Linked DNA regions of Saccharomyces cerevisiae S288C. The protein of the gene in region 1 interacts with the protein of each later gene in a biochemical or structural test. Each region holds a gene or a part of one and is shown in the gene's direction. Other genes may lie near its edges.

Evidence for each region.
Region 2: of the proteins of PHO81 (region 1) and PHO85, one has a biochemical effect on the other in vitro, tested with the Saccharomyces cerevisiae proteins (6 studies listed by BioGRID, with this or other methods).
Region 3: the proteins of PHO81 (region 1) and PHO80 form a complex in vitro, tested with the Saccharomyces cerevisiae proteins (5 studies listed by BioGRID, with this or other methods).

The regions. Positions count from the first base shown.
Region 1 is NC_001139.9:954,018-959,928, reverse strand, and holds PHO81 (Pho81p), read left to right. Parts: upstream 1-1,718; coding exon 1,719-5,255; downstream 5,256-5,911. Other genes in the region: YHB1 (flavohemoglobin), read right to left, coding at 1-25; NAS6 (Nas6p), read right to left, coding at 5,283-5,911. UniProt on the Saccharomyces cerevisiae protein: Inhibits the kinase activity of the cyclin-CDKs PHO80-PHO85 and PCL7-PHO85 under low-phosphate conditions.
Region 2 is NC_001148.4:491,362-494,560, reverse strand, and holds PHO85 (cyclin-dependent serine/threonine-protein kinase PHO85), read left to right. Parts: upstream 1-1,523; coding exon 1,524-1,540; intron 1,541-1,642; coding exon 1,643-2,543; downstream 2,544-3,199. Other genes in the region: TRM44 (tRNA (uracil) methyltransferase), read right to left, coding at 1-1,018; SVL3 (Svl3p), read left to right, coding at 3,197-3,199.
Region 3 is NC_001147.6:323,634-326,763, forward strand, and holds PHO80 (Pho80p), read left to right. Parts: upstream 1-1,615; coding exon 1,616-2,497; downstream 2,498-3,130. Other genes in the region: IZH2 (PAQR-type receptor), read right to left, coding at 1-731. UniProt on the Saccharomyces cerevisiae protein: Cyclin partner of the cyclin-dependent kinase (CDK) PHO85. Negatively regulates the expression of phosphate-starvation-responsive genes under phosphate-rich conditions.

The DNA.
Region 1 (5,911 bases):
TGGAACGGGTTTTTTCGGCTAGCATAATGAATAAAGTCTTTGTGTGGTTTGTTGAAAATGGTAAAAAATGAACAAGAATATACTGTATAAGAAAAATCAAGTCTCCACCTCAACCCACAATATTGTTATATATATATATATATATATATTTCCGTGTGTGTACAACATATTTCATCAGTAGTCTTGTACTTGACCACACACGGAACTGAAATGAAACTTTAACGGCAACAATTCAATAATAGTTGCTCTTAGATCTCCGTACAAGGAATGGTTAATTTCCGTATTTTCAGGTGGCATCAATACCATAATGTGTGAGTGCCAGCAAAAGATAGTTTTACAGGCGGTTCCTGCATTGCTTTCTGAGAGGGATGATCTGAAAACTATCCGTCGAAGACGCATAAGCGCGTCCGCTATTTTAGTAACGATTAGTAATCGAGCATTTAAAATTGACATTATTGGATAAAAAGAATACGTTATATCGGCCGGAGGATCCAACTTTAGTAGAAATAGAAAGATTTGCCGCGCAGACTATCATTTTCAGTTTAAATCCTCCACAGTATCAGAGTAGGCATCAAGGATGCCTTCCTTTGCTGGTACTCTGGGAAAATGTACCAGTTGGCAACGCAGGCGAACCAATAAACGAAGATTTCGGTCATTTGTTTTGCCGTCTGACCTTCTCAATTAGATTATGTCTTGGCAATTATACGAAGCTTGTGATTTTAAAAATGAGCCATGAGCTTGTTCGGAGAAGAGTCGCCTAAGGTACAGTGTGCACAGTTTTGCTTTTCAACGATGAATGCTTGAGCGTGGCGAAGAAAACCTTGCGGGCTTTTCGAAAATGTAAGGAATAAAAATGAAGTTTCCTGATTTATAAGCAAGCAATCACTGAACGAGAATATCTTGTAGTTAAGTGACTATCAAACGAGCATGAGGGTTACAAAGAACTTCCGTTTCAAAAATGAATATAATCGTACGTTTACCTTGTGGCAGCACTAGCTAACGCTACGTGAATGAACGTACCGTGCCCTATTATTCTTGCTTGTGCTATCTCAAGAATTGCATTTTGTAATAACAACTGCATGGGAAAAATTATATAGATTTTCTACTATTATGTCCGCCTAAGTCAGTTAACCATCTTTATCACAAAATATACAATTAACCAACTACTTAATCAATTCGGTTATATTGCTTAGTATATACGTCTTTGGCACGCGATTGAAACGCGCTAATTGCATCAGCCTATCTTTCTATGCAAGAATGCAAGAAAAATTGATGTGATGTGCCTTATCACAATTCATTACCTCCTATTTCCTCTGCAGCAACAAGTTTCCTTGATTATAAAGGTCTTTAGCGTGAGAGGTACAGGTGTTATGGCACGTGCGAATAAGGGCAGAAATTAATCAAATTTATCAACTATTTGGCGATGGCTCGAGACAGGTATAGAACCACTACTAGGTGATATTGAGGCTTTTGTACAATTTATAGCAAGTTTTTGAGAGTCCCTTCAAGTTTGTTACATAATCTTCTTTGTGCAACGTACAAGAGCAAAGTAGAAAAATTTGGTTTTTATTTTTTTAAGCAACATCAGCTGCACTAGTTGAGCTTTTGACAAGACATACTGCTCAAAAAATCTTCATAACATTATTTTTCGGTTCCACAGTGATTGAGCTTTTTGAGAGAATAACCCTTTGGAGGCAACATAGATAGATAAACGTGCAATGAAATTCGGCAAGTATTTGGAAGCCAGGCAGTTGGAACTGGCGGAGTACAACAGCCATTTTATTGATTATAAGGCTCTAAAGAAACTTATCAAACAATTGGCCATTCCCACGCTAAAGGCTAGTTCAGATTTAGATTTGCATTTAACATTAGATGACATCGACGAAAAAATTATACATCAGAGACTGCAAGAAAATAAAGCTGCCTTTTTTTTTAAACTAGAGAGGGAGCTGGAAAAAGTAAATGGTTATTATTTGGCGAGAGAGTCCGATTTAAGAATAAAATTCAATATATTACACTCAAAATATAAAGATTATAAGATAAATGGTAAGCTAAACTCAAACCAAGCTACCTCATTTAAAAACTTATATGCGGCTTTCAAAAAGTTTCAAAAGGATCTTAGAAATTTGGAGCAGTATGTTGAGTTAAATAAAACGGGATTTTCAAAAGCTCTGAAGAAATGGGACAAGAGATCTCAATCTCACGATAAAGATTTTTACCTTGCTACTGTTGTTTCCATTCAACCAATTTTTACCAGAGATGGGCCACTAAAATTAAACGATGAAACTTTACATATTCTCTTAGAGCTGAATGATATTGACAACAACAATAGAAGGGCAGACATACAATCCAGTACGTTTACTAATGACGATGATGACGACAATAATACCAGCAACAATAATAAACACAATAATAATAATAACAATAATAATAACAACAACAACAACAACAATAATAATAACATATTACACAATAATTATGAATTAACAACATCAAAGATTTCGGAAAACCAACTTGAACATCTTTTTCAAGCATCTTCCTCCTCCTTGGACATGGAGATGGAAATCGAAAACTGGTATAAGGAAATTTTGAATATAGCCACGGTGAAAGATGTTCAAAGAAAGCATGCACTACTAAGAAACTTCAGAGAAACCAAGATATTCACATATCTGCTACAAAATTCCTCAGAATCTTTTCATAAAAATGTCTTTTCTTTGTTGAAGGAGTGCTTAACGACGCTGTTTTTATTACTGGTGGCTAGTCCTTTGGACGATAACTCTCTGCATATTTTCTATAAAAGCAATCAGGATCATATTGATCTGTCATATTGTGACGAAGATGATCAAGTATTTTCACGAAAAAACGTATTTCACGAGGCTGCAAGTTGTCCAGAAAAATCACGCTTATTTATTCTAGATGAGGCTTTAACAACATCAAAGTTATCTAAAGAAACAGTACAAAAACTACTGAATGCCCAAGATATACATTCGCGGGTGCCGCTACATTATGCTGCAGAGCTAGGAAAACTGGAATTTGTTCACTCGTTGCTAATCACCAATCTTTTAGAGGACGTTGATCCCATTGATAGTGATTCTAAGACACCCTTGGTTTTGGCTATCACTAACAACCACATAGATGTTGTTAGGGATCTGCTGACTATTGGTGGTGCGAACGCATCACCCATTGAAAAGCCAATTCTGGATTATAGTAAGAATGTAATCAGCTCTACTAAAGTCCAGTTCGATCCTTTAAATGTTGCTTGTAAATTTAATAATCATGACGCCGCCAAGTTACTTTTAGAAATTCGGAGTAAGCAAAATGCTGATAATGCCAAGAACAAAAGTTCACAACACTTGTGTCAACCGCTTTTCAAAAAGAACTCAACAGGTTTATGCACTCTTCATATAGTGGCAAAAATTGGCGGCGATCCACAATTAATTCAACTATTGATACGTTATGGGGCGGATCCCAACGAAATTGATGGGTTTAATAAATGGACGCCCATTTTTTACGCTGTTCGTTCAGGTCATTCTGAAGTTATTACTGAACTATTGAAACATAATGCACGTCTGGATATTGAAGATGACAACGGCCATTCGCCACTTTTTTACGCCTTATGGGAGAGCCACGTTGATGTTTTGAATGCACTTTTACAAAGACCATTAAATTTGCCATCTGCACCCCTGAATGAAATAAATTCGCAGTCTAGTACGCAACGCCTTAATACAATAGATTTAACCCCAAATGATGACAAATTTGATTTAGACATTCAAGATAGCATTCCGGATTTTGCTTTACCACCGCCAATCATTCCACTAAGGAAATATGGTCATAATTTTTTGGAGAAAAAAATTTTCATCAAATTAAAGTTGAGGCCAGGTCTCGAGTCTATCAAGTTGACTCAGGATAACGGCATTATTATGTCATCATCACCAGGCAGAATTACTTTATCCTCAAACTTACCTGAAATAATACCGCGAAATGTTATTTTACCTGTTAGATCTGGCGAAATTAATAACTTTTGTAAGGATATCAGTGAAACAAATGATGAAGAAGATGATGATGAAATTAGTGAAGATCATGATGATGGAGAGATAATTTTCCAAGTAGATTCAATCGACGATTTTTCAATGGATTTCGAGATATTTCCTTCATTTGGCACAAGGATAATTGCCAAAACAACGGCAATGCCATTCCTTTTCAAGAAGGTGGCAATAAATAGTATTGCAACCATGAATTTACCCTTATTCGACACAAGACTAAATAATATTGGATCTCTCACTTTGGATTACCAAATTATTTTTCCTTATCCGGGAAATCCACTGAAAATCATAAATTATGAGCCGTATTGGAAATCTACAGGAAGTGATTTAATGACCTCTAGTAAAGACGGTAATTTTGTTACTTCTTCATCGTTGAATGGCAGTTTTATTAGTGTATTAGTTTGCGCTCTGAATGATGAAACCATAGTGGCTGCGCCAAAACCATACGTTGAATTCAAAGGCACGAAGATTCTGTTAAATGATTTAACGAAAGAACAATTGGAAAAGGTAGTGGATTATGACTTCGGTAAAATTGATGGAAGCTTCGATGAAGTAACATTGAAACAATACTTATCTTCGAGAGTGGTGCCTCTCAGAAGCCTACTAGAAGTTATTCCCGGGTCAGCCCAGCTGGTAATTCGTGTATATTTTCCTACAGATAAGGAAATTGACACAATTCCCATCAAAATATCGCCATTTATAAATATCAATCAATTCATTGATAAGCTTTTACTAATCATTTTCGAGCATGAACGTTTTTTGCGTCACAGCGGAAGTGGGAGTATGCGCCAAATAGTTTTCAGTTCATGCAATTGGGAAGCTTGCTCGATCCTTAACTGGAAACAACCCAATTTTCCGGTTTTGTTGCAAATGAAAAATCTACTCAGAGATTCAACCACAGGCAAATTTGTAGGTGATACTCCTAATTGTTTAAAGGAACTGGCCGTAAATCCTCAAAAAATGTCGTATTTAAACACGGAACTAATAAACATACATACAATGGTTCAATTTGCTATGAACAATAATTTGTTAGGTGTAACGCTTCCATATGAAGTACTGAAGATATGCCCGTCGTTGGCTAGGATCATCAAACAAAACGGACTACTGTTGATTGCATCGGTCGGGGAAAATGACCAAATACCAGCTGATGGAGGTTACAGCGGGATCTACTACGCTTGTGAGTTGCTTTTTGAGAATAATATTGATATGTAAAGTTCTGTAATATGTAGTTTTGAAATCTTATACATTATTTAGGAAAAACTTTTTAACCTGTTCATTAAGGGCAACATCTTCTGCCTTAGCGCCTTTATTATCTACAAGATCATATTCTGCACCATACTTTTCCACCAACAATACAGCTGCGTCACCGTGCCCTTCAGCCAAAGCATGAAATAGTGGGGTCCAACCCTGCTTATCCTGCCAATTTACAGCGCTTTTGCCCAAACCGCATAATAGTTCAATTAATTTCAAAGAACCCACCGACGCAGCTCTATGCAATGGAATTTGATTAAATTTATCTTTAATTCTTACGGACGCACCATTTTCAATTAAAAATTGGGATACTTCAAACCATTTCTTACCAACTGCCAAGTGCAAGCATGTAACTCCTTGATTGGTTATCTTATTTAGATCAGGCTTTAGAGGTCTGTCGTAAAGAGACTTTACCACCTCCAAATTCCCCACTGAACAAGCAATATGGAAAGGTGTCCATCCAGAATCATCTGGATAATCATCTAAGTTAACATTTTCCATTTTAGAAAGCAAAAAACTGGTAATTTCATGTGCTTGGAAAGAAACTGACCAGTGTAAAGGGATTCTGCCATCCTGGTCCTTCTGTAGCAACAAGGAAGGTTTGGAGTGTAGCAGCT
Region 2 (3,199 bases), on another chromosome or scaffold:
TAATACTTTCACTCAGTAAAATATAACAAAGAGCACCATTGCCGCATCCCAAATCTCTAAATTGCATTTTTGAACGGAAGTCTGGACCGTACACTTTAATCCATAATTCAATCAGGAAAGCGGCAATGGCTATGTCTTCAAAAACATGTTTTTTTGGGTCTGTAGACTCTGCCCAATTCTCCACCAGGAACTTGGAGTATTTTTTCTTCAAAACAATGTATGTGTTCTGAAAATTGACTTTATTTACCACTTGATCGTGATTGACCCTCTTTTCATAACCCTGCATCACACCCTTTGAGTGTTTGTTAGCAGTTTGTAATAACCTATAAGCGGTTCTTACAACACGCTCAGATTCATCTGTAAAGGCAGTTTTATCCTCGGGGAAGGGAATGTAGTGTACAGAAAGAACTGACTGGTGTAACAAAATGCCTACACTTTGCGTTCTTGGAATATAAAACGGACAGTCTTTCTCAGAGTTAATGTGCGGCGTATATACAATCAATGAGGTCTCCTGAAAATTAGGGTCTTTGCTATTTAGGATTAAACATGTTTGGTTTATGATAGCATCTTTGTAAAAATTCCTAGGAATGATCCTTCTTACAAATTCATGAACGGGTGACAATTTTAAACTCTCAGATGTTTCACACGACCTTATGTTTAAATCTTCAATATTTATCTTCTTGACATCTTCTTCACCGCTTTCATTACCATTATCGATCTCAAACTTTTTTAATACGGACTCGTCAAATTTTGGCTCAGACCCAGCTTCTGCAGCATGATTGATCTCTTTCAAAATATCCGCTCTTAATATGACAGTAGAGTTAATATTTGGTTCTCTAATAACGTTCATCATTGCTTGCTCGAAGTGGGACTTTGCGAATGTTACTTTCCCATCCGTTTGGTAAAGGCTTAACCATTGAGGTCCTAGAATACTTTTATCATTCACAATAAACTTGAAGCGATCTTTGTGTTGATTTTGATTGTTTTTAGAAATATGTGCACTACCGTCGCCAGTCATTGTTGAGAGAAAGGAGAAGTATCACAAGATAGCAATATAATCGGACCAAATGCGTTGTCTATCTTGCGTAATGGAAATCGCATTTTCTAAATGATATGGTTTATTTCAAAGAATAATGTCATCGGGTTTTCCAAAATGCAAAAAATGAAATTTTTAACAATGCAGAGCAAAAAAGTGAAGAATAAGTGCACTACTAAAACCAAAAAAACAGGAAGAAGGTGCAAAAACGCAAAAAGTAGTTACCATAGTCCGTCCAGACACGTTAAATGAATTGATAGACACGGAGGGATAGACAGGCCGGATGCGCTACTTCTATCTATCCTAGACCCTTTGCTTGTCCTCTGTGTGCAGTTCATTTTCCGTACAAATCACCATACACGTAGACTCGTAAGCCCGTAGCTTTCTAATTGAAAGATAACAAAGGGAATCCAGTTTTACCATATAGCGTATAATTGCAGATAAGGGATATATAGCGCGGCAAACTGGGCAAACTTGAGCAATACCAATGTCTTCTTCTTCACAGTATGTAGTTTTCTAGTCAAGTATCATTGGAAAGTAAAGAACTAGAAATGATGAATACTAACATATATACGAGAAAAAATCAACCTCGAGCTCTATGAACAGATTTAAGCAGTTAGAAAAGCTTGGCAATGGTACGTATGCCACAGTGTACAAGGGACTGAACAAAACCACAGGGGTATATGTTGCCCTGAAAGAGGTAAAACTGGATTCAGAGGAAGGTACACCCTCTACGGCCATCCGTGAGATCTCCCTAATGAAAGAATTGAAACATGAGAACATTGTTAGACTTTATGACGTTATTCACACAGAGAACAAGTTGACTTTGGTTTTTGAATTCATGGACAACGATTTAAAGAAATACATGGATTCCCGCACCGTGGGCAACACACCAAGAGGGCTAGAACTAAACTTGGTTAAATACTTCCAGTGGCAACTACTGCAAGGGCTGGCCTTTTGCCATGAAAACAAGATTCTCCACCGTGATTTAAAACCTCAAAACCTATTAATCAACAAGAGAGGCCAGTTGAAATTGGGTGATTTCGGTCTGGCCCGTGCTTTCGGTATTCCGGTCAACACATTTTCAAGCGAAGTCGTAACGTTGTGGTACCGTGCTCCTGATGTGCTAATGGGTTCTAGGACGTACTCCACATCCATTGATATATGGTCGTGTGGGTGCATTCTTGCGGAAATGATAACGGGTAAGCCTTTGTTTCCTGGCACCAACGACGAAGAACAACTGAAATTGATCTTCGACATCATGGGCACTCCTAATGAGTCCCTATGGCCCAGTGTAACAAAGTTACCCAAATACAACCCAAATATCCAGCAACGACCACCAAGAGACCTACGTCAAGTATTGCAACCACACACCAAAGAACCGCTAGACGGGAATCTCATGGATTTCTTACACGGACTCTTGCAACTTAATCCGGATATGAGGCTGAGCGCCAAGCAGGCTCTGCATCACCCTTGGTTTGCAGAGTACTACCACCACGCTTCATAACGCAGCCCGTCAGCGAAAAACCGTAGCCATGTATATATAATGATAATAATCATCTATAATACACTACTATTACTTTAGTCTCATCTTACGACAGCCTTTACGACGGCTTTTACCGCCTTAAAGGCGGACAGGCTTTGTCTTCCGGAACGGAAAAACATGAAAATTTTTTATTTTTTTTCATTCGTTTATACCGCGAGTGAAAAAAAAAAAAAAGGAAACTGGAAACCTCTCGAATAACGATCGGTGAATGCTTCCCAAGCTGTTTTCGGTCTTCGTGTTGTGTCAAGTGAGAGAGCAGAACGTAAACGCAAACACAACGTCGGTTCTTTCCGTTGGCGTTCGTTGTTTGTTTATTCTCGTTTCTTTGAACCTGTTTGTTTATTTATTTTTAAACAGTCAATTAGTGAGAGTAACACACTTCTAATCTTGGCCTTCTTATTCGTAGCCACCCAGCTATTTTTGGTCTTGATCAGAACAAAGCAAGCAAAACCAAGAACAAACAGAAAGGGGAGAAATAGTTATCGGTTCGTTCCCTGGTTTTACTTCCTTTTTTTTTTCTTTCATTTTATAACACACAACTCCAGCAGTCTGACGCTCACCAATAAGATCAATTTCGTTTAATTGCTTTGCTCGCCCTCACACACGTTATAGTTATG
Region 3 (3,130 bases), on another chromosome or scaffold:
TGAATTTGGGTCCAAATTTCTGAAAAACTATAGCAGTAAAGGCCGCTGAATATTGGAATAATTGAGGATAAACCAAAACAAACAAATAGCCCAGCTCTGTAAGGTCTCCACTCTCTTTTCCGAAACTTATCTTTTAGTGACACAATACTACACGCGATCCCAAAGCTAACGGTAATAAGCGCAAATAGGCAAAATAGGGAAAATTTCTCAAAATAGCCGTAGTACAAAATACTGACCATTGACGTAACAATCAATATACAAATACCAAGGTAGTCCAACTTATTTCCTAAGGTAGCAATTCTTAAGGAGTGACTCTTTAGACAATGAAAGGAGCTACTCAATATTAAACATGCAAACGCCCCCGAATAAAAGAGGTCGATTACCATATGATCTAGCCATGTAGTTGTTGCAAACACTTTGATAGTAGATTTATCTAGCAACAGTACAGTGAAGAACCCGAGAGCAGGAATTAAATGTGAATAAATATTGACACTTTCATTATGCAAATAAAACAAACTTTTAAAAGTTTCAATGAAGCTACTAGTTTCTTTCACGTATCCATGTAAAATAAAATCATTGTCTCTTTGCCATTCCGGAATTTCATCCCAACTATATAGCCTTCTTAGTACTTTTTTAGCTTTAGCGACCTCTGCGGGATTTGCGGATGTTTTCCCTGCAGCTCTCTTCTTCAGCTCTTGCACACTCTTAGTCCTTTCTAATAAAGTTGACATTTGGAATGATTCTTCTCCAACATGCAGCATAATTAAAACGACGGGAAATTTAGTACATTTGGCTCAAGGAACGCTGACATAAATACTATTTCTAATCTACTATTCGAAGAGATGTTGGATTTCTAAAAAAAAAAGAGCTCAACAACGGAAGACCGCCTATTAACCCCGAGTGTCTGTTTTTTAGTATACTCGAAGCAAACAAGAAAAGTTTGTTACTTAATTTCTGGCCTAAACAAGGTAGTGCTACCCTAGAGGAAGTACGATATCAGTACACTTTTGTATTTTTAACGAATTATGGTATTCTTTAAAATATTTAACATGCTATCGAGTTTTTCTTTCTAAAATGCGGTTTCAAAATTTGAGTCCGCTTTCTATGGAAAATATGAATGAGGCGAACGTGCTTGTACCATAGTCAGATTTTAACCCGTAGGTGAGAGCCTGAGGCTTCTGTAAACCACCTTGGAAACACATACGGGTTATAAGATTTTAACAAACAATCAGTCTCCATACTCATCCTAGGATCTCTTCTTCATTTGATGAATAAAGGATTCAAACTTCAGAAAGTTATTCAGCGTATATTGGCTTTCCTTTAATCTAATGCCCCAAGCCATCATAAATAGCCATATTACTTTGAAAGTGCTCATCCGTATACACTGCAACTTTTCTTCTTTTCTCTTTAGCCGATTATAGCTCCTACCTGTTTTTTTTTTCTTCTTAAGATTATTTATATTCCAATTTTATCATCCGTATTGTTTCCAATAGCGTTCCAGTGATCAGTTATATACTTCGAGAGGCAGATAACCTTTCTTTTTATAAGTGTTTATCAAATTTAAGTCTGCAAGCTATCATAAGACGAGGATATCCTTTGGAGACTCATAGAAATCATGGAAAGCACATCAGGAGAACGTTCCGAAAATATACATGAGGATCAAGGGATACCAAAAGTAATTCTGCCCGCTGATTTTAATAAATGCTCTAGAACTGACCTAGTGGTGCTCATATCACGAATGTTAGTATCGCTGATAGCAATCAATGAAAATTCAGCAACAAAGAAATCTGATGACCAAATTACTTTAACACGATACCATTCTAAGATTCCTCCAAACATATCAATCTTCAACTATTTCATACGACTGACAAAGTTTTCCTCTTTAGAACATTGTGTGCTTATGACATCACTCTATTATATCGATTTATTGCAAACTGTGTATCCTGATTTTACGCTTAATTCGTTGACTGCCCATAGGTTTTTATTAACAGCCACCACAGTCGCAACAAAAGGCTTATGTGATTCGTTCTCAACAAACGCCCATTATGCAAAAGTTGGAGGAGTACGATGTCACGAATTGAATATACTGGAGAACGATTTTTTAAAGAGAGTAAACTACAGAATCATTCCGCGGGATCATAACATTACGTTATGTAGTATAGAGCAAAAACAGAAAAAGTTTGTCATAGATAAAAACGCATTAGGGTCTCTCGATTTGGATTCTTATTCTTACGTTAATCGTCCAAAAAGTGGATATAATGTTCTAGATAAATACTATCGAAGAATAGTTCAGCTGGTGGGTTCCTTTAACGCTTCACCTGATAAGAGTAGAAAGGTTGATTATGTTCTCCCGCCAAATATTGATATAGTGAGTGAAAGTGGCTCCCAAACTACTCAACTAAAGGGGTCGTCATCACCCAATTCTCACTCTTCACAAAAGCGATATTCTGAGGCAAAGGACGCACATATCTATAACAAGCGATCAAAGCCAGATTAATGATTTTTCGTGGGGTATTATGAAAGCAATCATGATTGAGCAAAATTAAAACTTTCCATTTGTACATATATATATATATATATATATATATCTGTGTGTGTATAATAAGCAATTGGCCATCATTTGGCTAAAAAGTTCAAGATTTCAGGTAGTATATAAGAGAATAACTTCCCTCTTTTGCTAAAGAAGGATATGTTCTATTTCAGCCTTTTTGCATCATAAGAGCATAAGCGACAGAAAACACTTCGAGATGAGCTTGAGAACTCCATTTCAATTAACTTGATAAATACATGTAGATTCATATCATCACTGTTCTTTTCAGATACTAGTTTCAAAACTTCCTTGACAGAACCATTTCATGTTCAATAATGAAAATTACTTTCACATGTTTTAGTGGAAAAATACTGAACAATGAAATTTCAATATCGCATATAATAATTTTTGTTATCAAATATATATTTTTCGGAAGTCATATACATTAAATAATTAAAACATTATTTTTAAAAATTAAAAAAATATATTTTAGCAAATAGTTTTTACTTTTTTTTAAATGCAAAATAAGTTCACGTGATATTATTAATAATATTTTACCCAAAAATATGAGGGCATCGGAAAATTTTTCAGTAATGAATA